Linked DNA regions of Macaca mulatta. The main gene of each other region encodes a partner of the protein of the gene in region 2 in a complex. Links are inferred from orthologs where the notes say so. Each region holds a gene or a part of one and is shown on either strand. Other genes may lie near its edges.

What was found.
Region 1: MYBL2 (region 2) and TFDP2 share a complex: the UniProt entries of both Homo sapiens proteins name them as parts of the DREAM complex. The link is inferred for Macaca mulatta from reciprocal best matches to the Homo sapiens genes MYBL2 and TFDP2.
Region 3: the proteins of MYBL2 (region 2) and LIN52 are in contact, whole or in part, in a crystal structure (PDB 6C48), measured with the Homo sapiens proteins. The link is inferred for Macaca mulatta from reciprocal best matches to the Homo sapiens genes MYBL2 and LIN52. Residues at the interface, in NP_002457.1 of Homo sapiens: Trp663, Val666, Ala667, Gly669, Thr671, Asp673, Gln674, Phe676, Lys680, Ala681, Gln683, Leu684; in NP_001019845.2 of Homo sapiens: Gln84, Ala87, Tyr88, Gly91, Leu92, Glu94, Ser95, Met98, Thr99, Lys102, Phe103, Leu107, Glu108, Lys109.
Region 4: MYBL2 (region 2) and LIN54 share a complex: the UniProt entries of both Homo sapiens proteins name them as parts of the DREAM complex. The link is inferred for Macaca mulatta from reciprocal best matches to the Homo sapiens genes MYBL2 and LIN54.

Annotation. Positions count from the first base shown.
Region 1 is NC_133407.1:44,952,147-44,957,312, reverse strand, and holds part of TFDP2 (transcription factor Dp-2), read left to right. Parts: intron 1-1,909; coding exon 1,910-2,072; intron 2,073-4,636; coding exon of another isoform or gene 4,637-4,639; coding exon 4,640-4,783; intron 4,784-5,166. UniProt on the Homo sapiens protein: Can stimulate E2F-dependent transcription.
Region 2 is NC_133415.1:96,520,798-96,525,963, forward strand, and holds part of MYBL2 (myb-related protein B), read left to right. Parts: intron 1-3,576; coding exon 3,577-3,797; intron 3,798-5,166. UniProt on the Homo sapiens protein: Transcription factor involved in the regulation of cell survival, proliferation, and differentiation. Transactivates the expression of the CLU gene.
Region 3 is NC_133412.1:147,265,449-147,271,247, reverse strand, and holds the start of LIN52 (protein lin-52 homolog), read right to left. Parts: upstream 3,458-5,799; 5' UTR 3,451-3,457; coding exon 3,420-3,450; intron 1-3,419. Other genes in the region: ALDH6A1 (methylmalonate-semialdehyde/malonate-semialdehyde dehydrogenase [acylating], mitochondrial), read left to right, coding at 4,018-4,071.
Region 4 is NC_133410.1:50,833,376-50,838,541, forward strand, and holds part of LIN54 (protein lin-54 homolog), read left to right. Parts: intron 1-493; coding exon 494-567; intron 568-719; coding exon 720-917; intron 918-1,948; coding exon 1,949-2,040; intron 2,041-3,150; coding exon 3,151-3,222; intron 3,223-4,036; coding exon 4,037-4,139; intron 4,140-4,296; coding exon 4,297-4,434; intron 4,435-5,166. UniProt on the Homo sapiens protein: Component of the DREAM complex, a multiprotein complex that can both act as a transcription activator or repressor depending on the context. In G0 phase, the complex binds to more than 800 promoters and is required for repression of E2F target genes.

The DNA.
Region 1 (5,166 bases), on a different chromosome or scaffold from region 2:
GCCGGGATTCTCAGTGAGCTGAGGTCGCACCACTGCACTCCAGCCTAGGGGATAGAGTGAGACTCTTTTAAAAAAAAAAAACAAAAAAAAACATATTAATGGGTCCAAAAATACACTTAGATAGAATGAATAATATCTAGTATTTGGTAGTACAATAGGATGCTGTAGTTAACAACAATTGATTGTATATTTTAAGTAACTAGAGGAAAGGAATTGGAATGTTCCTAATACAAAGAAACAAAAAAGGCTTGAGATGATGGATACCCCGATTACCCTGATTAATCATTACACATTGTACAGCTGTACAAAAATATTTTCTTTATATCCTTAATTTTCTTTTTTTTTTAACTTTTGAAACTTTTTTGTTGAACACTGAGATGTGGCTGGGCAGGGTGGCTCACACTTATAACCCAACACTTTGGGAGGCTGAGATGGGAGGGATCACTTGAGGTCAGGAGTTCAAGAGCAGCCTGGGCAACATAACGAGACCCTGTCTCTACAAAAAAGAAAAGAAATTAGCCAGGCATGGTGACATGCACCTGTAATTCTAACTACTTGGAAGGTTGAGGTGGAAGGATCACTTGAGCACAGGAGGTTTAGGCTGCAGTGAGCCATGATGGCACCACTGCACTCTAGCCCAGGCAACAGAGTGAGACCCTGAATCCAAAGAAACCCCCCAAAACAGAAAACTGAGACAGGGGCCAGGCGCAGTGGCTCACGCCTGTAATCCCAGCACTTTGGGGGGCCAAGGCGGGTGGATCACCTGAGGTCAGGAGTTCTAGAACAGCTTGGCCAACATGATGAAACCCTGTCTCTACTAAAAATACAAAAATGAGCCAGGTGTGGTGGCGCACACCTGTAATCCCAGCTACTGGGGAGGCTGAGGCAGGAGAATCGCTTGAACCTGGGATGCAGAGGTTGCAGTGAGTAGAGATCATGCCACTGTACTCCAGCCTAGGGGATAGGGTGAGACTCTCTCTCCAAAAAAGAAAAGAAAACTGAGACACACTATCCTAGGCCTACAGGGAGGTCAAGATCATCAATATCACTGTCCCCTACCTCCACATCTTGTCCCACTGGAAGGTCTTTAGGGGCAGTAACACACATGGAGCTGTCATCTCCTGTGATAACAATGCATTCTTCTGGATACCTCCTGAAGGATTGCCCGAGGCTTTTTACAGTTAACTTTTAATTTATAATTTGAAGAAGTACGCTCTAAAATGATGAAAAGTATAGTTTAGTAAATACAGAAACCAGTAACATAGTCATTTATTATCATTATCAAGTATTATGTACTGTCCATAATTGCATTTGCTAGACTTTTATAGGACTGGCAGAGCAGTAGGTTTGTTTGCCAGCATCACCACAAACATGTGAGTATTGCATCATGCTATGGCATTATGATAGTTACTACCTCACTAGGCAATGAGAATTTTTCAATTCCATTGTAATCTTATTGGACTACTGTTGTATATGCGGCCCGTCATTGACTGAAATGTCCTTCTGTGGCAAATGACTGTAGTTTTAATTTCAGTAAAAAACCTATAATCTACATAGAATACGAAAAGATAAGTATGTTAGCTATACAAGGGCAAAGTTTTTGTGTTTTTTCACTGACTTATTCTCAGTGTCAATAACAGTATCTGGCATAGAATAGTAACTGGTCAATAAATATTTGTTGAATAAATAAATAAATGATGTGCATAGAAAAACACTCTAACTTCATACTTTATTAGGCCTTTAAGGCAAAAAGTAAGTTTAAGTAAACATTTTCTCATCTCTATTCAATTTAAATTTTTGACACCCGAAGTAAAAGTTAAATTACTGTCTTCTTGAATTATCTTACAGAGATTTGTAAAGGAAGTCTCTAATATGTATAATGGAGTAAAAAAACTTTTTTCCCTTCTAGTAAACGAAGCAAAAAAGGAGATAAAAATGGGAAAGGCTTGAGACACTTTTCAATGAAGGTGTGTGAGAAAGTTCAACGAAAAGGTACAACATCATACAATGAAGTCGCTGATGAGCTGGTGTCAGAGTTCACCAATTCAAATAACCATTTGGCTGCTGATTCGGTAGGTAGATCATGAACCTGACATTGATTTTGATGGATGATGGTATCTCTTTGTGTTATCTTTGTTATAGATTTGAGGAATCAGGTAAGCTAGATGAACAATTATACTTGAGGGTTTCATCCTTTATTTTGGGGGATTTTTTGTTGTTGTTGAGTTTTATTTTGGAGGGAATTCTTTTTTTTTTAGATGGATCCTCGCTCTGTCGCCCACGCTGGAGTTCAGTGGTGCGATCTTGGCTCACTGCAACCTCTGCCTCCCAGGTTCAAGCTCTTCTTGTGCCTCAGCCTCCCGCGTAGCTGGGATTACAGGCGCACACCACCATTCGCAGCTAATTTTTGTACTTTTAGTAGAGACAGGGTTTCACCATGTTGGCTAGGCTGGTCTCAAACTCCTGACCTCAGGTGATCCACCTGCCTCGGCCTTCCAAAGTGCCGGGATTACAGGCGTGAGCCACTGCACCTGGCCTTAGTTGCATTTTTTTGTTTTAACATTTAAAAAATATTTGGCATGGTGGCTCACGCCTGTAATCCCAGCACTTTGGGAGACCGAGGTGGGCGGATCACGAGGTCAGGAGATCGACACCATCCTGGCTAACACTGTGAAACCCTGTTTCTACTAAAAATACAAAAAAATAGCCAGGCATGGTGGCACGTTCCTGTAATCCCAGCTACTCAGGAGGCTGAGGCAGGAGAATTGCTTGAACCTGGGAGGCAAACGTTGCAGTGAGCCAAGATCTCACCACTGCACTACAGCCTGGGCAACAGAGCAAGACTCTGTCTCGGGAAAATAATAATAATAACATTATTATTATTACAGTTATTTTTATTACTTTAAATAAATATTGTGCTGAACCCTTTATTATTATTTAATCTGCTTTGAATAACATCCATATCCCTTCCAATATCAAAAAGAGGAAATTGGCATACCTACCACATTGCCTCCTCCCAGGACTTGTTGTTACAGGATCATTGTTTCTGCAGGGTCAACATTTCTTTTTTTTTTTTTTGAGACAGAGTCTAGCTTTGTCACCCAGACTGGAGTGCAGTGGCACAATCTTGACTCACTGCAACCTCCGTCTCCTGGATTCAAGAGATTTTCCTGCCTCAGCCTCCCAGGTAGCTGGGATTACAGGCATGTGCCACCACGCCCAGCTTAGTTTTGTATTTTTTAGTAGAGATGGGGTTTTGCCATGTTGGCCAGACTGGTCTTGAACTCCTGACCTCAGGTGATCCGCCCGCCTCAGCCTCTCAAAGTGGTGGGATTACAAGCATTGTCAAGATTTCTAATCATTGTCAAGATTTCTAATCATTGTCAAGATTTCTAATATCTATTGATGTTATTGTCAAGATTTCTTGCCTATTGTCAAGATTTCTAATATTTACATTCAGTTCTATAACTTAAATCCCCCACTTACTTAGATCTAGTTTTATATTTAGGTGGATTCAGTGTTCTCCACCATCCTTTATTATCATTGCATTTCCTGAGGACCTTGTTCCACGTTGTAAACCAACATGGTTTCCTTCATTGAGTAAGTCTTTCTATCAAAAAAAATAGAAGAAAAAGGCCAGGTGGGTGACTCACGCCTGTAATCCCAGCACTTTGGGAGGTCAAGGCGGGCAGATCACGAGGTCAGGAATTTGAGATCAGCCTGGCCAATATGGTGAAACCCCGTCTCTACTAAAAATACAAAAATTAGCTGGGTGCAGTGGCACGCGCCTGTAGTCTCAGCTACTCAGGAGGCTGAGACAGAAGAGTCACTTGAACCTGGTAAGTGGAGGTTGCAGTGAGCTGAGATCGCGCCACTGTACTCCAGCCCGGGCAACAGACCGAGACGCTGTCTCAAAAAAAAAAGAAGAAAAATGGTCAACTGAACTGAATGAACAGTGTCCATTGTCATATAGAGGATTATATTTTGGTGCAAGTTCCTAATCTCATTGTAGATTGGAGACAATTTGCAGATCAACAGTGGTCAAGGAACACATTTTGAGAAGCACAGTTTTACCCAGAACTTGAATAAATGTCCTTGATTTTTTTAAGTCTAAAATCCTCCCAGATAATGCAAGGGCTTAGAACACTTTACCTCCAATATGTTTTTCTGTTAATATATACTATTTATTGTCATGTATATTAATTAAGTTCTGTATTTATTCTAGCCTCCATAAGACATTATTATTGTTTTATACAGTGAAAATTGAGATTTACCCACATATTTACCTTTTGGATTGGTCTTCATTCTATCCTACATCTCTAAGCTCCCATCTTAGATGATATTTCTTCTACCTGAAGAAATCCCTTTAGTATATTTCAGTGTAGATCTGCAGGTAACATGATCTTTATTTTTAAGATTATTTTGTTTTATATTGTTTGAAAGTATTTTTATTTCATCTTTAATTTTGAAGGATATTTTCACGGAATATAGAATTCTTTTGGATGTCTTTGTCAGTTTGCTAAATAAAAAAATAGAATCCTTCCAGCACTTTGAAGACATAATATTAATTTGACATATTAATATCATGTGACTGTATCTTAACCCTTAATTATCACTCAATGAAAATGTTTTTTAGCAGGCTTACGATCAGAAAAACATTAGGCGAAGAGTTTATGATGCTTTAAATGTGCTAATGGCAATGAACATAATTTCAAAGGAAAAAAAAGAAATCAAGTGGATTGGCCTGCCTACCAATTCTGCTCAGGAATGTCAGAATCTGGAGGTAAGTGAGAAAATCTGTTTATGAATAGCTTTTTGTATTATTTTACATCAGAGGCATTTTAATTTAAAAATGTAATTGTAATATAAAATATTTCCAATTTTTCATGTATACTATGTCATTTTTTAACAGACTGTAGAATTTTAGAATTGGAAGGTGCCTTATAGGTATAGTCTACAGTTTAATTTGTAAATGATGAAACTGAGGGATATAAAAGTTAAATAACAGTTTGATTTTACTGTTTCTTAGAGAAGATTTTTATTTCATTCTAAGTTAATTCTGAGCACTCTACTAATAAACTTTTGGTGAAATGGTATCTTATTTGATAAGATGCTTGCTGTATGTATCCAAAAAAAAAAAAAAAGGATCAAGCTGGCTGTTGATTT
Region 2 (5,166 bases):
TCGCCATAGCAGTCCTGCGAAGTGGGCAGAAGTTGTTAGTCCCATTTTATAGATGGTGAGAGCAGGGCTCAGAGAGGCTGGGGATGTCCCCAACCTAGAAGAGGCAGTAAGCGCCATGACTGCCCTGGTATACCTTGGGAGTTCCCTCATCTCTTCTCCTTGATACCACCCCAGAGGATGCCATTCTACCGAGGCAGGCGTGGCTCATGGGAAAGAGGGAGATGAAGGGAACTAGACTTTTTTTTTTTTTTTTTTTTTATATGGAGTCTCGCTTTGTTGCCCAGGCTGGAGTGCAGTGGCACAATCTTAGCTCACTGCATCCTCCGCCTCCTGGGTTCAAGCGATTCTTCCGCCTCAGCCTCCTGATTAGCTGGGATTACAGGCACGTGCAAGTACGCCTGCCTAATTTTTTTGTTATTTTTAGTAGAGATGGGGTTTCACCATGTTGGTCAGGCTGCTCTCGAAATCCTGACCTCGTGATCCACCCACCTCGGCCTCCCAAAGTGTTAGAATTACAGGCGTGAGCCACCGCGCCCAGCCTGGAACTAGATATTTTTAAATTGATTTTTTTTGAGACAGGTTTTACTCTGTTGCACTGGCTGGAGAGCATTGGCTAATTTTTTTGATTGATTGATTGAGGCAGAGGTTTGCTCTGTCACCCAGGCTGGAGTACAGTGGCACAGTCACGGCTCATTGCATGCAGTCTCAACCTCCCAGGCCCAAGCAATCCTCCCATCTCAGCTTCCAAAGTAGCTGGTACTACATGTGCCACCATGCCTGGCTAATCTTCTTGAAAAATTTTTGTAGAGACAGTGTCTTGCTATGCTGCCCAGGCTGGTTGAACTTCTGGGCTCAAATGATCCTCCCATGTCAGCCTCCCAAAGTGCTGGGATTATAGGTATGAGCCACTATTCCTGTTCTTTCTTTTTTTCTATTTTTTGAGACTGAGTCTTGCTTTGTTGCCCAGGCTGGAGTGCAATGGCGCGATCTTGGCTTACTGCAACCTCTGCCTCCCGGATCTAAGCAATTCTCTGCCTCAGTCTCCTGAGGAGCTGGGATTACAGGCTCCCACCACCACTCCTGGCTAATTTTTGTATTTTTAGTAGAGATGGGGTTTCACCACGTTGGCCTGACTGGTCTTGAACTCCTGACCTTGTGATCCACCCACCTTGGCCTCCCAAAGTTCTGGGATTGCAAGCGCAAGCCGCTGTGCCCAGCCTTTTTTTTTTTTTTTTTTTTAATTTATAGAGACAGGGTCTTCCTATGATTCCCAGGCTGGTCTTGAACTACAGGGCTCAAGCTATCTTCTCACCTTGGCCTCCCAAAGTTCTGGGATTATAGTCATGAGCCATGGCTGGCACTTCACCTTGAAATTAATTTTAATTAACTCAGTGTGGTGGTAGGGTGCCTGTAGATGGAAGGCGAGTTGGGAGGATCATTTGAGCCCAGGAATTCAAGGCCGCAGTGAGCTATGATCACACTACTGCATTCTAGCTTGGGTGACACAGTGAGACCCTGCCTCAAAAAAAAAAAAAAAAATAAAGCCTGGGTGTGGTGGCTCACGCCTGCAATCCCAGCATTTTGGGAGGCTGGGGTGGGTGGATCACCTGACATCAGGAGTTCGAGGCAGCCTGACCAACATGGCGAAACTGTGTCTCTACTAAAAATGCAAAAATGAGCCTGGTATGGTAACGCATGTCTGTAATCCCAGCTGCTTGGGAGGCTGAGGCAGGAGAATCACCCGAACTGGGGAGGCGGAGGTTGCAGTGAGCCGAGATTGCGCCATTGTACTCCAGCCTTGGCTGTAAGAGTGAAACTCTGTCTTGAAAAAGAAAAAGAATGAAATTTATTTATTTATTTATTTATTTTTGAGGTTGAGTTTCGCTCTTGTTGCCTAGGCTGGAGTGCAATGGCATGATCTCAGCTCACTGCAACCTCTGCCTCCCAGGTACAAGCGATTCTCCTGCCTCAGCCTCCTAAGCAGATGAGATTACAGGTGCACGCCACCATGTCTGGGTGATTTTTGCGTTTTTAGTAGAGAGGGGGTTTTGCCATGTTGGTCAGGCTGTTGTCGAACTCCTGACCTCAGGTGATCCACCCGCCTCGACCTCCCAAAGTGCTAGGATTACAGGCATGAGCCACTGGGCCCGGCCTGAGACCTTGTCTCTTAAGAATAAAATAAAATTTAGTTTGAAAATACTTTTTTGCCTGAGTGTGGTAACTCACACCTGTAATCTCAGCACTTTGGGAGGCTGAGGTGGGTGGATAACTTGAGGTCAGGAGTCTGAGAACAGCCTGGCCAATATGATGAAACCCCATCTACCAAAAAATACAAAAATTAGCAAGGTGTGGTGGTGTACCTGAATCCCAGCTACTTGGGAGGCTGAGGCTGGAGAATCGCTTGAACCTGGGATGCAGAGGTTGCAGTGAGCTGAGATCGCCCCCCTGCACACCAGTGAGACCCTGTCTCTAAAAAAGTAAAAACATAAAATTGGGCTGGGCGCGGTGGCTCATGCCTATAATCCCAGCACGTTGGGAGGCCGAGTCAGGCGGATCACCTCAGGTCGGGAGTTCAAGACCAGCCTGACCGACATGGAGAGACCCCGTCTCTACTAAAAGTACAAAATTAGCCGGGTGTGGTGGCGCATGCCTGTAATCCCAGCTACTTGGAAGGCTGAGGCAGGAGAATCGCTTGAACCTGGGAGGCGGAGGTTGTGGTGAGCCAAGATTGTGCCATTGCATTCCAGCCTGGGCAACAAGAGCAAAACTTCATCTCAAAAAATGAAAATAAAGTAAAAACATAAAATCTTTAAAAAAAACAAAAACAAAAAACAAAGTGATATGTGGTTGCTATAAAAATTTAAACCATACAGAAATGAAGTCAAATATTTATTCACCAAAATCTTTGCCAAAAGAAGCATCCACTCTTCCCAGTTTCTTGTGGCCTGTGTGCACACGAGAATGTGTGTGTCTGTTGTATAGGCAGGGCGTGGCCTGGCTCTTGTGGCTGAGTATGTTGTGGTTTGTGTCCTGAGCTAGGAAGCCTGACTGAGGGCAGGTGGGGACTCAGGTCCAGCTAGGTCAGCCCGCCATGCCTGCTACCATGGCTCAGCCTGTGCCCTCCCAATTTCCACAGAAGTGCTGGGAGGTCTTGTGGCAGCCTGGGGCATGGCCGGGGTGGGAAAGTCTATTTCCCACCTTTAGTTTGGACCCTTGTGGTTGTTCCTCCTCATCCCTCTGCTCTTTTATACTTAGCTTATTGGGTTGAGCCCTGAAGAGGGAAGCAGGACTCTGGTGCCTTTGTTTACCCCGGCTTGATCTCTGCTCTAGAAAGAGTCGCTGGCATTCTTGACCTAGATTTATTCCAGGCAGTAAATGAGAGGGGTGTGGTCAGATCCTCAGGTAGGACTTATGGGCTACACAGAGTCATACTGCGTGGCATCCCCTGCCACCCGCTCCGTGTTGCCTGAGGGGATGTGGTAGGTGGCACCTCCCAGGGCCGTGGCAAGGCTCAGGTGGATGTGAAGGGCGAGGGAGGGGCTGGTGCAACTGGCTACCCAGAGGCTTTTCTCCAAGGTCATCGAGCTGGTTAAGAAGTACGGCACAAAGCAGTGGACACTGATTGCCAAGCACCTGAAGGGCCGGCTGGGGAAGCAGTGCCGTGAACGCTGGCACAACCACCTCAACCCTGAGGTGAAGAAGTCTTGCTGGACCGAGGAGGAGGACCGCATTATCTGCGAGGCCCACAAGGTGCTGGGCAACCGCTGGGCCGAGATTGCCAAGATGTTGCCAGGGAGGTAAGCTGTCTTCTTGGGGGTTGGGGCAGGTTCTCAGGAGGCCAGGCCCATGTTTCTGATGGAGGAGGGTTCCTTGGTGGGTACTGTGGTCCTATGCTCTTGTTCTCTAACACCCAGCCTCGGCTTCAGGACTCCCAGAGGCATGCATAGTCGGGAGGAAGGGTGGTTCCCCAGGAAGGCCCTGTCTTCTGTCAGCTTAAAAGAACAGATGGTGATAAGGGAGGCCTCAGCAAGAAAGTGAGAACCCTGGAGTCTAGTTCTCATCCAGTTCCCAGCTCACTGTGTCTTCTTGGTTAGCCTCTTCTCTTCGACTTCAGTTTCTTCTAACACAGAATAGACTTGAGATGTGGAGTAGATGGGCTTTCTTTAAGAAGAAAATGTATAATCCCAGTACTTTGGGAGGCCGAGACGGGCGGATCATGAGGTCAGGAGATCGAGACCATCCTGGCTAACACGATGAAACCCCGTCTCTACTAAAAATACAAAAAACTAGCCGGGCGAGGTGGCCGGCGCCTATAGTCCCAGCTACTCGGGAGGCTGAGGCAGGAGAATGGTGTAAACCCGGGAGGCGGAGCTTGCAGTGAGCTGAGATCCGGCCACTGCACTCCAGCCTGGGCTACAGAGCGAGACTCCATCTCAAAAAAAAAAAAAAAGAAGAAGAAAATGGTCAGGCTGGGCGCAGTGGCTCACGCCTGTAATCCCAGCACTTTGGGGAGGCTGAGGCAGGTGGATCATGAGGTCAGGAGATCGAGACCATCCTGGCTAACACGGTGAAACCCCGTCTCTACTAAAAAACACAAAAAATTAGCCGGGCGAGGTGGCGGGCGCCTGTAGTCCCAGCTACTCGGGAGGCTGAGGCAGGAGAATGGTGTGAACCCGGGAGGTGGAGCTTGCAGTGAGCTGAGATCGCGCCACTGTACTGCAGCCTGGGCGACAGAGCGAGACTCTGTCTCAAAAAAAAAAAAAAAAAAAAAGAAAATAGTCAAAAATCAGATAGTACTATAATCTGCTAAAAGGTTTTTTTTTTTTCTTAAAAGGTTTGTAATGAAAAACATCAGTCTTTGTCACCACTCTGTTAACTCACTCTACTAAAACAGACTCATCTTTTTGAGTTCTTTATCACTATCTCTGTAAATGATGTGCCAGTTTACATATTGATCCTCTGCTATGGGAGATTAGCTTTCTTAGGCTTTCCCATTCCCCATATGTCCCTATTGCTCCAATAATGTATTATAGTTATTAAAATAATAATGTTTATGGTCGGGCATGGTGGCTTATTCCTGTAATCCCAGCACTTTGGGTGGCTGAGGCGGGTGGATCACTTGAGGTCAGGAGTTCGAGACCAGCCTGGCCAACATGGTGAAGCCTC
Region 3 (5,799 bases), on a different chromosome or scaffold from region 2:
CCCAGAAAATACACATATGTACAAAATTTTTCAACATGTACTTTTCTCTAAACTGAATTTGTTTTGCCAAATATCCCAAAGGAATTTCCAATGGCATTTTAATTGTAAAGAACTCAACCAATACACTGCCTTAACTAAAGCATTAAAAATTAGCTTCTCTTTGTTACCAATTTCTGAGGAATGTTCAACCATAACAAAAATAAAGTTATTGGGCCAGGTGCGGTGGCTCGTGTCTGGAATCCCAGTGCTTTGGGAAGCTGAGGCAGGAAGACTGTCTGAGCCCAGGAGTTTGAGACCAGCCTGGGCAACATAGTGAGACTTTATCTCTACAAAAAATAATAAGGCAGGGCACGGTGGCTCACGTCTGTAATCTTAGCACTTTGGGAGGCTGAGGTGAGTGGATCACCTGAGGTCAAGAGTTTGAGACCAGCCTGGGCAATATGGTGAAACCCTGTCTCTACTAAAAATACAAAAATTAGCCAGGTGTGGTGGTGTGTGCCTGTTATCCCAGCTACTGGAGAGGCTGAGGCATGAGAATTACTTGAACCCAGGAGGCAGGGATTGCAGTGACCCGAGATCGTGCCATGGCACTCCAGCCTGGGTGACAGAGTGAGACTCCGTCTCAAAACAAAATAAATAATAATAACAATAAATTAGCTGGGCATGGTGGTGTGAGCCTATAGTACCAGCTACTTGGGAGGTTGAGACGGGAGGATAGCTTGAGCCTTTGAGGGTGCAGTGAGCTATAATCATACCACTGCATTTCAGCATGGGCAATAGAGTGAGAGAGACCCTGTCTCTAAAAGAAAATTTTAAAAAAAATTATTGGGGGTACAATCTAATAACCTACATGGGTGACCTTATCCCACAGTCTGGGATAGAACTCAGACTCTGCTGTGAGTCTTACTCTCATAAATTAAGTAATTAGATGGCTGTATTTGAATTTCAGTTTTCTCCTTTTCAAAGAAGCTCCAGCAAATTTATCACGAAAAAGACAAAAGAGTAAATGACAAACATTTTCAAGTCAATGTTATCTGAATTAAATTTTAAAGACAGTGACAGGTGGAACACTAAAAATAGAAGTGAGAGAGCTAGGCCATGGAATATTTTGGAATGAGATACTTACTGAGACGTTGAATTTAAGTTCAAAGTGCTTGACTTGATTTTTTCAGATTAAAAGAAAACATTAGGTGGAGAGGAGTAAAACTTTGTAAGAGATGAGAATGAAGACTTTTAAAAATCAAGAGTGCAAATAAAGTGACCATAGGGATGGCTAGAAGACCAAAGGAAAAAAATTTAACATTTTTAATACTCTTCCTGGCCAAAGAAAGGAAACTAAATTGAGAGAAGACAAGGAAAAAAAAAAACCAAACTCAAGGAACACATCTCTAAAATCCCCAAAATTTGTAAAAACAATTTTAAAATAAACTAAAAAATTTAATAACAATTACCTCTATTTCTATCACTTGGCTTTTTAAAAAAATTGTGGTGAAATATACATAAATTTTACCATTTTAATAACTTTTAAGTATAGAGTTCAGTGGTATTAAGTACATTAATTGTGCAATCATCACATTCATTTCCAGAACACTTTCACCTTCCCAAACTGAAATTTGGTACCCATTAACAATAACTCCCTATTCCCTTTTTAAATGCCTTTCTTTCTGGCGAGAGAAGGACATTTTTGCAAGAGAGCACCCAGGAAGGAGAATCTCTTTTGACTCCAAACATCCAAATTTCTTGTTTTTCCTTCTTTTTTTTTTGAGACGGGGTCTCGCTTTGTCACCCAGACTGGAGTGCAGTGACATGAACATGGTTCACTGCAGCCTCCACCCCCAGGCTCAAGTGATTCTCTTGCCTTAGCCCCCCAAGTAGCTGGGACTACAGGTGCACGGCACCACACCCAGATAATTTTTGTATTTTTTTGTAGAGATGGGGTTTCACCATGTTGTCTAGGCTCGTCTTCAACTCCTGAGCTCAGGCAATCTGCCTGCCTCAGCCTCCCAAAGTGCTGGGATTAGAAGTGTGAACCACCACGCCCGGCCATAATTTCTAACACAGTATGTACCTGTGCTCACAAAATTTAAGACTCGGTTAAACGTAAAACTTAAGATCAAGTAATATATTATTTCTGCACATATCTAATCAATCTTTCAATACATGTTAATTAAAGACCTACTGTTCGTCAGGCACTGTGCTAAACCTGGAATCCAGCTATGAACAAGACAAACTTGTAATTTATAATCTAGCGTACAAGGGGCAAAGTTAACATAGTAACTATGCTGACAAGGAAGATACTGAGGCAATGAATAATGGTGGGGAAGGGCAACTCCAGATACTGTGTTCTAAGAAAGACTCTTTGGGAGGTGACATCTAAAAAGAGAACTGAAACTGGAAAAAAAAAAAAAAAAAGTGTGTATGTTTGAGTCATCTTTTGGTCTCCCAAAGCACCTAGCATTATGCCTTTCATGTAGTAGGTACTCAATACAGCTCACCTTGGCTTCAATTTCTTCATTCCTGCAATGAACTTCCAAGATTCCTTCCAAATACAAAATCTGTTTGTCTAAGGGAGGGAAACCTATATATCAATAAAATCGATATATAGTTGGGATGCGGATGGTAGAACTAAAAATGAGTTTAAAAATGACTGCAAGACCCTCTCTAAAGCAGAACCAAAAGCAAAAGCATGGGAGTATACCAAAACAACTTGTTACTTGAGATGACTTGCATTTTACACAACATATAAACAGAAATCGTTCATTCACTCAGCCTTAAGAAACAACACGTAAAGCAGATGAAAGAGCGGTTGCGACCTGTGCAAGACAACACTTAAAAGCTCAATACTCATTCTCCTCGCGACTCTCTCGGCGAGGGGCCGAGAACGTCCCCCGCTTCTCTTGCTGCCACGGCAATGGTCCCAAACTGAGGAGACAGGAGAGAGATCATGTTTCTCTTGCGGTTCACTATCGAGATGGGGTCAGCCAGCAGCCCCTGCGAGGGTTTGAGAATCGTTCCATCTGTGCGCTCAATCAGAAGAGAACTGATCCTTTCAATGGGATACCCCAAGGAGAAAACTACAGTAAGGCACGTCCTCCAGTAACATCTCCTCCTCTACCCTCAGCCTCGCCCAAATAGAGATAAGGAAGGGCCAGGGCGACCCCTGTCCTTTTACCCAGAATGAGTCCCTCCCTAGTGCCCTCCTCCACACGCCTGGTACAGAGCAGGGAAACTGGGCACCTCTGAAGCTGCTGCGAAGAACCGGTGAGCTGAAGACGGCGATGGATCGCAAGAAAAAAAACAAAAGGGAAAGGAGAAGAGCCCAAGAAAGAAATGTATGTTCGAGGGGCAGAGACAGAGTGGATGTTCCCCATACAGCAAAGAAGGAGGCTGCAGGCAAACATCCCTAAGCCGGCTCTTACCGTCTGTGGGAGACGCCATCTTCCAACCCATGTCACGTGACGTGGCCAACCGTCGGCGGGAAAACGAGGATCCATAAGCCACGCCCCCAAAGAGAAACCCTATCCCCAACTCGCAGCCACGTCTCATTCCCTCGCCTCATAGGGCAATCTTCGCCCAGCCCCTCCCCTCATCATAGCCACGCCCCTTATGCAGTTGTTGAGGTGGAGCGACAGCAAAATTCTTGGAGGGTCTTATTTACTTTGCTCAGTGAAGGGGTGGGGCCTCGGTTGCGTCCTTGGCCAATCGGAGTTCCAGGTTAGGGGGCGTCTCCTCCGTGTGCTCAGTATGGAGTGTCCAAGTCGGGGGCGTCTTCTCTACCTCCGCCAACGGCATTGGCTGAGGTAGGAGAGGGTGCGAGCATTTTCGCTCCTGACCAATCACTTATCCCCAGGACTGGGGTGTGAGAGGAGGAATCAGGTGTTAGGACGAGTGATTGGCTGAAGAAAATAGTCCTCCCCACCAATGAGGAAGCCCGGCAGGATGGAGGGCTAGGCCTGGCAGCTGTAGTGCGTCTGAGCTGTAGAGGAGCGGGTTGCGGAGCTAGGGCGGCCGAGAGCCATGGCGGCGGTAGTGGCGGCGGCGGCGGCGGCAGTGCGAGCCAGGATCCTGCAGGCGAGTGAGGGTGGCGCCAAGGCACCATGAAGCTAGGAATTGGATCCTTTCCGTCCGCTCCCTGAGCCGTCCTCGGGCTGGGACCACCTTCTTGGCCCAACCCCTTTTTGGCCGGACCTCCTACCTAACCTGTGGGCCCTGTCCCATGCCCAGCCCTCACTTCATACCCTCCCTCGTCCCGGATCCAACCCTGGGCTGTTACCCTTGGCCCTCTACCCTTTTACTCCTAAGCCTCCTCTTTTCTGGCTCTCGCCCACTCTCCTTCTCCAGCTCTGCCCGCTCCCTGCTGTCAGTCTCTTGCCCTCATCTCTCCATCCGCCCACCGTCTTTCCCTTTCACCTCTGCACCAGCGTTCTCTCTATCCCCCAGAAACTACTCTTTTTGGTTATTCTGTCCCCTGCCTTGAGCGTCCACGTTGCCATTGCTCCCTTCCCCCACCCTACTTCACTGTCCGTGGTGATCCGAGGTAAGAGGGAGGGGGAACGTGAGGGGCGAGGGTCAGTGTATGAACTTTGAATTTTCTTCTAGAAGTGGACTCTAGATTTTCACCAAAGGCAGCCATTTACCGAATTATTTTCCCTAAGTGTGGCTCTTTGTATTTTCCATAGACTGGCTGTCCCCTTTCTTGCCAAAACTTTCAGTGAAACTTTCTCTCAGCCAAGTTAAACAGTTTACATAGATAGGGCACATGTACATAGGGTAGATAAGGGCACACAGTTAACGCTACCAGTATGTTCCATGTACGTTCAAGGTACTAAACATTTTCAAAACAGGTGATAGAAAGTGGGAGCCAGGTAAGACAAGAAGTCTAAGTTCCCACCCCAAATCAGCTCTTCTAGTGCCACACACCCTCATCTCTGCACTTGGGGGATTGAGTCCTTTCTGAAGCCAACCTAAGGAGAAATGGTAAAGCTACAGGAGTTGCATGCCTGAGGCCTGTAATCTCCAACTCTATAGTCTTTCCCCTGTTCATGGCCTACCAAGGATTTAGAGTATGAGGCAAGATTTACTGCAGGCAAGAAACAATCAGCAAGAAACAACAGTGCCCTTCTTATTCATTACATCCAGTCTGAGAATTTCCTCTGTATTGCTGCGCTTTTAGGTAATATTAGTATTCACCAGGTTTCCGTGAGTTCTAGTACAGAAACTTGGGCATTTTCAAGATTCTTGGCAGAGTCAGCAAAGATTCACGTTTAAATATGCTATTTAATGGGGACGGTAGAAAGGATGAGTTTGAAGGGTTTGTCAGATGGTCTGGCCTCATATTTCTTGCTGTGATCCTTGTTCTGTTCTAGTATCTTTTTTTAGTAGCAGGAAAACAAAGTTTCCACCCTATATTTTTCTTACCAACTTCTTGAAATCTTTTACTGAAATTGGTTTTTTTCCTTTGCCTCCTCTTCCCCTCCCATCACAACGAGTCATTGAGAACCTTAAGAAAGTATTTTGTTCTTTTCCATCAAGGAGAAGAATCTCTCTTTCCTTGTACTTTATTTCAGAAACAGACACTATGTATTTTCTGATTCATTTGGAGAAACTTCTGAAGTGACCTAGAAAAGAACAAATAGAGTAATCCTCAGCCAACTAGGAGTTGTAACATGAAACTTTGATTAAAAGTTTGATAAAAAGTAGCCTAGAGGCCAGGCACTGTAGCTCCTGCCTGTAATCCCAGCACTTTGGGAGGCCAAGGTGGGTGGATCACCTGAGGTCAGGAGTTGGAGACCAGCCAGA
Region 4 (5,166 bases), on a different chromosome or scaffold from region 2:
AGCCTGGGTGATAGACAGAGCGAGTCTCCGTCTCAAAAAAAAAAAAAGAGAGAAAAAAAAAAGACCCAAGAATGACATATTCTGTGGTTTGAATAGAAACAGCAATTAGAAATAGTAGTATAGAGTGCTGTTGTTACTCAAGCTTATGAATGACAGTTCTTTTATTTATACATTTCATTTGACTGGATTAGGTACTGAATGTATAAATCATCTGAATACAGATTGAGGTATTTTCATTTGAATGTCTTGAACCTACAAATATTCCCTCATAAAGTGGATAGACTGTAGCCACCTTAGATATAAGTTCTCTGGTAGATGGGGTAAGTGGTTTTGAAAGGTAACTATCCTGATTAAAGATTGCTCAAATTAGGAATCAAATGGAATTCTTTAAGCTCTTTTATGAGAAAAACTTGGGAGAGCTAAGTATTCTTAAGTGTTTTAAATACTATTTTCTGTAAATAACTTGTTCACCCTTTTTTTGTTTTTTAAAAAGCAAAGCCAGTGGTTGTTAATACAACCCCAGTGCGGATGTCAGTTCCAATTGTCTCAGCTCAGGCTGTCAAACAAGTGAGTATCACATAACTTCTTTCTGAGTCTTTCCCAAATAGATGAGTTACTTTTTAAATAGAACGTTAAGATTTAGGTGCAAGAGATTTATACTGAATTGAACAGCTGTAAAATTTATTTTGTGGTCATTGATGTATGTCCCTTCTTTTTAGGTTGTTCCAAAACCAATCAATCCAACTTCACAAATAGTAACTACTAGCCAGCCACAGCAACGGCTTATCATGCCTGCCACACCACTGCCACAGATCCAGCCCAACCTCACTAACCTGCCACCAGGCACTGTCCTGGCACCGGCTCCGGGAACAGGGAATGTGGGTTATGCAGTGCTTCCAGCTCAGTATGTTACTCAGGTATGTGGAAAAAATGAAGTCATTGTATTGCAAAAGTGATAACGGGGTCCAAGATGTCTAGTGCTATCACAGAAACTACTCAAACACATCTAACTCAGTATTGAAGTGGCACTTTCCAAAATCTTAAAATGTTAACCCAAACCTTTAAGTTTATTTCTGTGTACCTTTAGCATTTAGAAATATATAACAGAGGTCAGATATACAAGTCAGACAATTTGGAGCTGAGAGCAGCTTGGCAAGAGCCCAAGGCTGTGGCGGTATGATAGAAAATAGACTGAAGTTAAAATCGGCAGAGTCCAAATGAATTTAGAAAAGACCGTGGCTGTTACAAAGCTCTTCCTCACACATCAGTTTGATGCCACTGACTTGGAAAATAAGTCCAAGTTTATTTATTGGAAAATAAACTGTGAGATGCATTTCCAGGTGACATATCTTTAGCGATCTGTCTACTCTTACTGGTCATCTTTAGAATGAAAGACAGGGAAACAAACCCACACGTGTACTTTTTAATGAAATATACTTTGGAATATGTTTTGTGGCTATTGATAAAAAGAATAACGTTCAGTATTTTTGTCATAAGCATTTCTAATGTTTAGAAGTTGGTGTAAAATAGAAACTCAACTATTGTGCATGTAACTTATTCTCTGTAATTTGTAGTGTGATAAATGATCAATATAGTACCTGTTTTATTTGTAAGTAGGCACATTACATTTTTCTAGCCAAAACAAGTTATTACAGTACTTCGAGAGCATTCATCTAGAATTTCCTATCATTCTGACATACTTAACTCTTCTGTGAAATACTTTCTTTATATTTGTACTATGTAGTACTATAAAATGTTCACATTATTTTCACCTATAGTATTGGTTTGAGTCTTTAAAAGAGCTCTGTGGAGTATGTGTTTGTATGAAATTCTCCATTGTGTTTTTCTTATTTTAATAGATGAATTTGTATTGCTTACTGATCATCATACCTGAGAATATTGTCCGTTTTTGGAAATATGATCTAAAATTAATTTTCTTTACATGTAGCTACAGCAGTCTTCATATGTATCAATAGCAAGCAACTCTACCTTTACTGGAACATCTGGTATCCAGACCCAGGCACGGCTTCCATTCAATGGGTGAGTATTTTGAAAATAGGTACATAAGTTGTTAGATCAGCTTAAATGCAACAATAAATACATATATTCCAAACTACATCCTCTTTGACTTTTTTCCCCTCAAAGCTATGTGAGCATGCCTCTAAAATACTTGTTGAAATATTTCAAACAGAAAAATTACAGAAATAGTCAATTCCCAAATACTCTATTCAGGTTCACCAATTTTGCTACATTGGTTTTATTATTCTCTTTCTGAGTATGTTTCCAAAATGATGATGCTAACTATTTTTTATCTTTATTTTTCGAGACAAGGTCTTGCTCTGTTGCCCGGGCTGGAGTGCAGTGCTGTGATCTCAGTTCACTGCAACCTCCACCTCCCAGGCTCAAGCAATCCTCCTGCTTCAGCCTCCTGAGTAGCTGGAACTGTATGCGCAGGCCACCACGCTCTCCTAATTTTTAAATTTTTTGGTAGTGATGCAGTCTCACTATATTGCCCAGGCTAATCTCCAAGTCGGGCTCAAGTGATCCTCCTGGCTCAGTCTCCCAAAGTGCTGGGATTCCAGGCTTGAGCCACTGCACCTGCCCAACTATTTTAAAAATTATGTTAGGTCCTTGTTTTTTGTTGATGTTTATTTATCTGTTAATTACTGCCTTTGCAATATCAGCTTAGAAGCAGTGCTTAATTACCCGGAATCAGTCCACATCCCACTTCCATTTCCTCCTCCACACACTCCTTTTCCTCACTGCCTTTTTATACTTGAATCCCAAGAGTTTTGAGGCAATCTCAACTTTGTTTTCTTAGAAGGGACAGTGTTTGTGGAGTGTTCTTTAGCAGCTATTGATAACTTCTTTTTAAAAAATTATTCCATATCTTGTCTTTACCTCTTTTCATGTTACAACTTGCCTTTGGACCTAATGTAAACAGAACAACATAGCAAACTTTTTATTTTAGATGGACACATTTAACATTGGTTAAAACTTTATTTCTGGAACAATTTATAGATTGGAGACTTTTCTAATCTTAAATTAGTTTTAGGTCTAATTTTTAAAATTTTAAATTAATTGTAGCAACTAAATTAATTTTAGTTACTATTAATTGATTAAATGTATATATTTTTTCTATCCGTACAGCATAATCCCATCAGAGTCTGCCAGTCGGCCCCGAAAGCCCTGTAACTGTACAAAATCACTGTGTTTGAAATTGTAAGTGTTTTTGCTACTCTTTGCTCATTTAATATAATTAGAAATGCTCTTAAAAGTAAATGGAGTTAACTAAAAATTTTTAACAGACCAAAGCTTGTAAGTCTAAGTAATTTAAATAAACATATAAGTCAATGTTTGCACATATATGGCAGTATAAAAATATTTCATTCATTTTAGAAAGAAATATTAGAGTCCTTACTATACATGAATCACTGGAGTAGGGGTCAGGGACATAGCAGCATGAGACAGACATAGCTTCTGCCCTTAATAATGTTTGATCTTATTCATGACTTTTGTATTTGGTCTACTATGTGAAGAGATGATACTCTAGGTAGTTTTAAAAATCATTGAATGGTTAATTTGCTTATTAGCATTATAAAGATTTGACATGAACTAGTTAAATGAAAAGCATTAGTCTTATTGGGGCATAGAATCCAAAGAAGTACTACTATAACTCAAATGAGCCAGCTCAACTATTAGAATATAGCCAGTGTTCTTCCTTTTTCAGAATTGTGAAATGCCTGACTTTGGGGGCACATAAAATTATATAGCTCTTGTGCGATAGCTGTTACTGGTTGGACTAAGTTTTTTAGGTCAAAATTCTAGGACTTGGTGATTTAAACTTTGAGCCTTAGTATGCGGTTGACAATATATGTTGTTAACTCTTCAACTGGGTAGCTGAGTAGATTTCTGAAATGATTTACCACATATGTAGTACATGTACAATATATATATAATGTATGCATATATAATCAGGTAATTAGTAGTTTTCCTTAATAATGACTTTTTACCTATACTGACTTTTACCTTTCAGATATTGTGATTGCTTTGCAAATGGTGAATTTTGCAACAACTGCAATTGTACTAATTGTTATAACAATTTGGAACATGAAAATGAAAGGCAAAAAGCAATAAAGGTGATTATTTTTTATTTCATTTAACTGACAGAAATATCCAGTTTCACCAATTTTTTAAATAACTCAGTTGTCTTGCAAAGAAACATTTCAATTCCTTTTGCAGTGTTTAAATTTCATCTACTGTGATTTAACTCTGATATTTGATCTGTTTTGCTAGGCATGCCTTGACAGAAATCCAGAAGCCTTTAAGCCTAAGATTGGGAAAGGAAAGGAGGGAGAATCTGATCGACGTCATAGCAAAGGATGTAATTGCAAACGATCAGGATGTCTTAAAAACTACTGTGAATGCTATGAGGTGAGATGCTGGGTGGTGAAAATAATATCTTTTAAGATATTTTAGAAAAGACATACTACAAAAATTTACTTGAAAATTGGGAAATCACCTTGCTATTGCAGTTTGAAAATATGCGCAGTTGGCACAGAGGCCCTTGTTTGAGGAAATATGAGGCAGGCTTTCGAGCCTCCTTAGCAGGGCTTCGGAGGAATACCTTGGGTTTACTATTACAGCCTGGAGTCTTATTGGGTGATTTACCATAACTTCTTGGCCATTATGCCCAGAAATATGCATGCAGATCAGAACACCAATATACTGATTTTCAATAAAAATAATAGTATCAAAGTGGATTGGAAACTCTCCAGCAGTGATTCTCACCTGAGGTGCAGTTCTTATTGTTCTTCACAGGCTTCTTAGAAATATATGGCCGGGCACGGTGGCTCACACCTGTAATCCCAGCACTTTGGGAGGCAGAGGCGGGCAGATCACTTGAGGTCAGGAGTTCGAGACCAGCCTGGCCAACATGGTGAAACCCCGTCTGTACTAAAATACAAAAATTAGCTGGGCATGGTGGCGGGCGCCTGTAATCCCAGCTACTCAGGAGGCTGAGGCACGAGAATCGCTTGAACCCGGGAGGTGGAGGCTGCAGTGAGCCGAGATCATGTCACTGCACTCTAACATGGGCAACAGAGCAAGACTCTGTCTTAGACAGACAGACAGACAGACAGACAGACAGACAGACAGACAGATAGA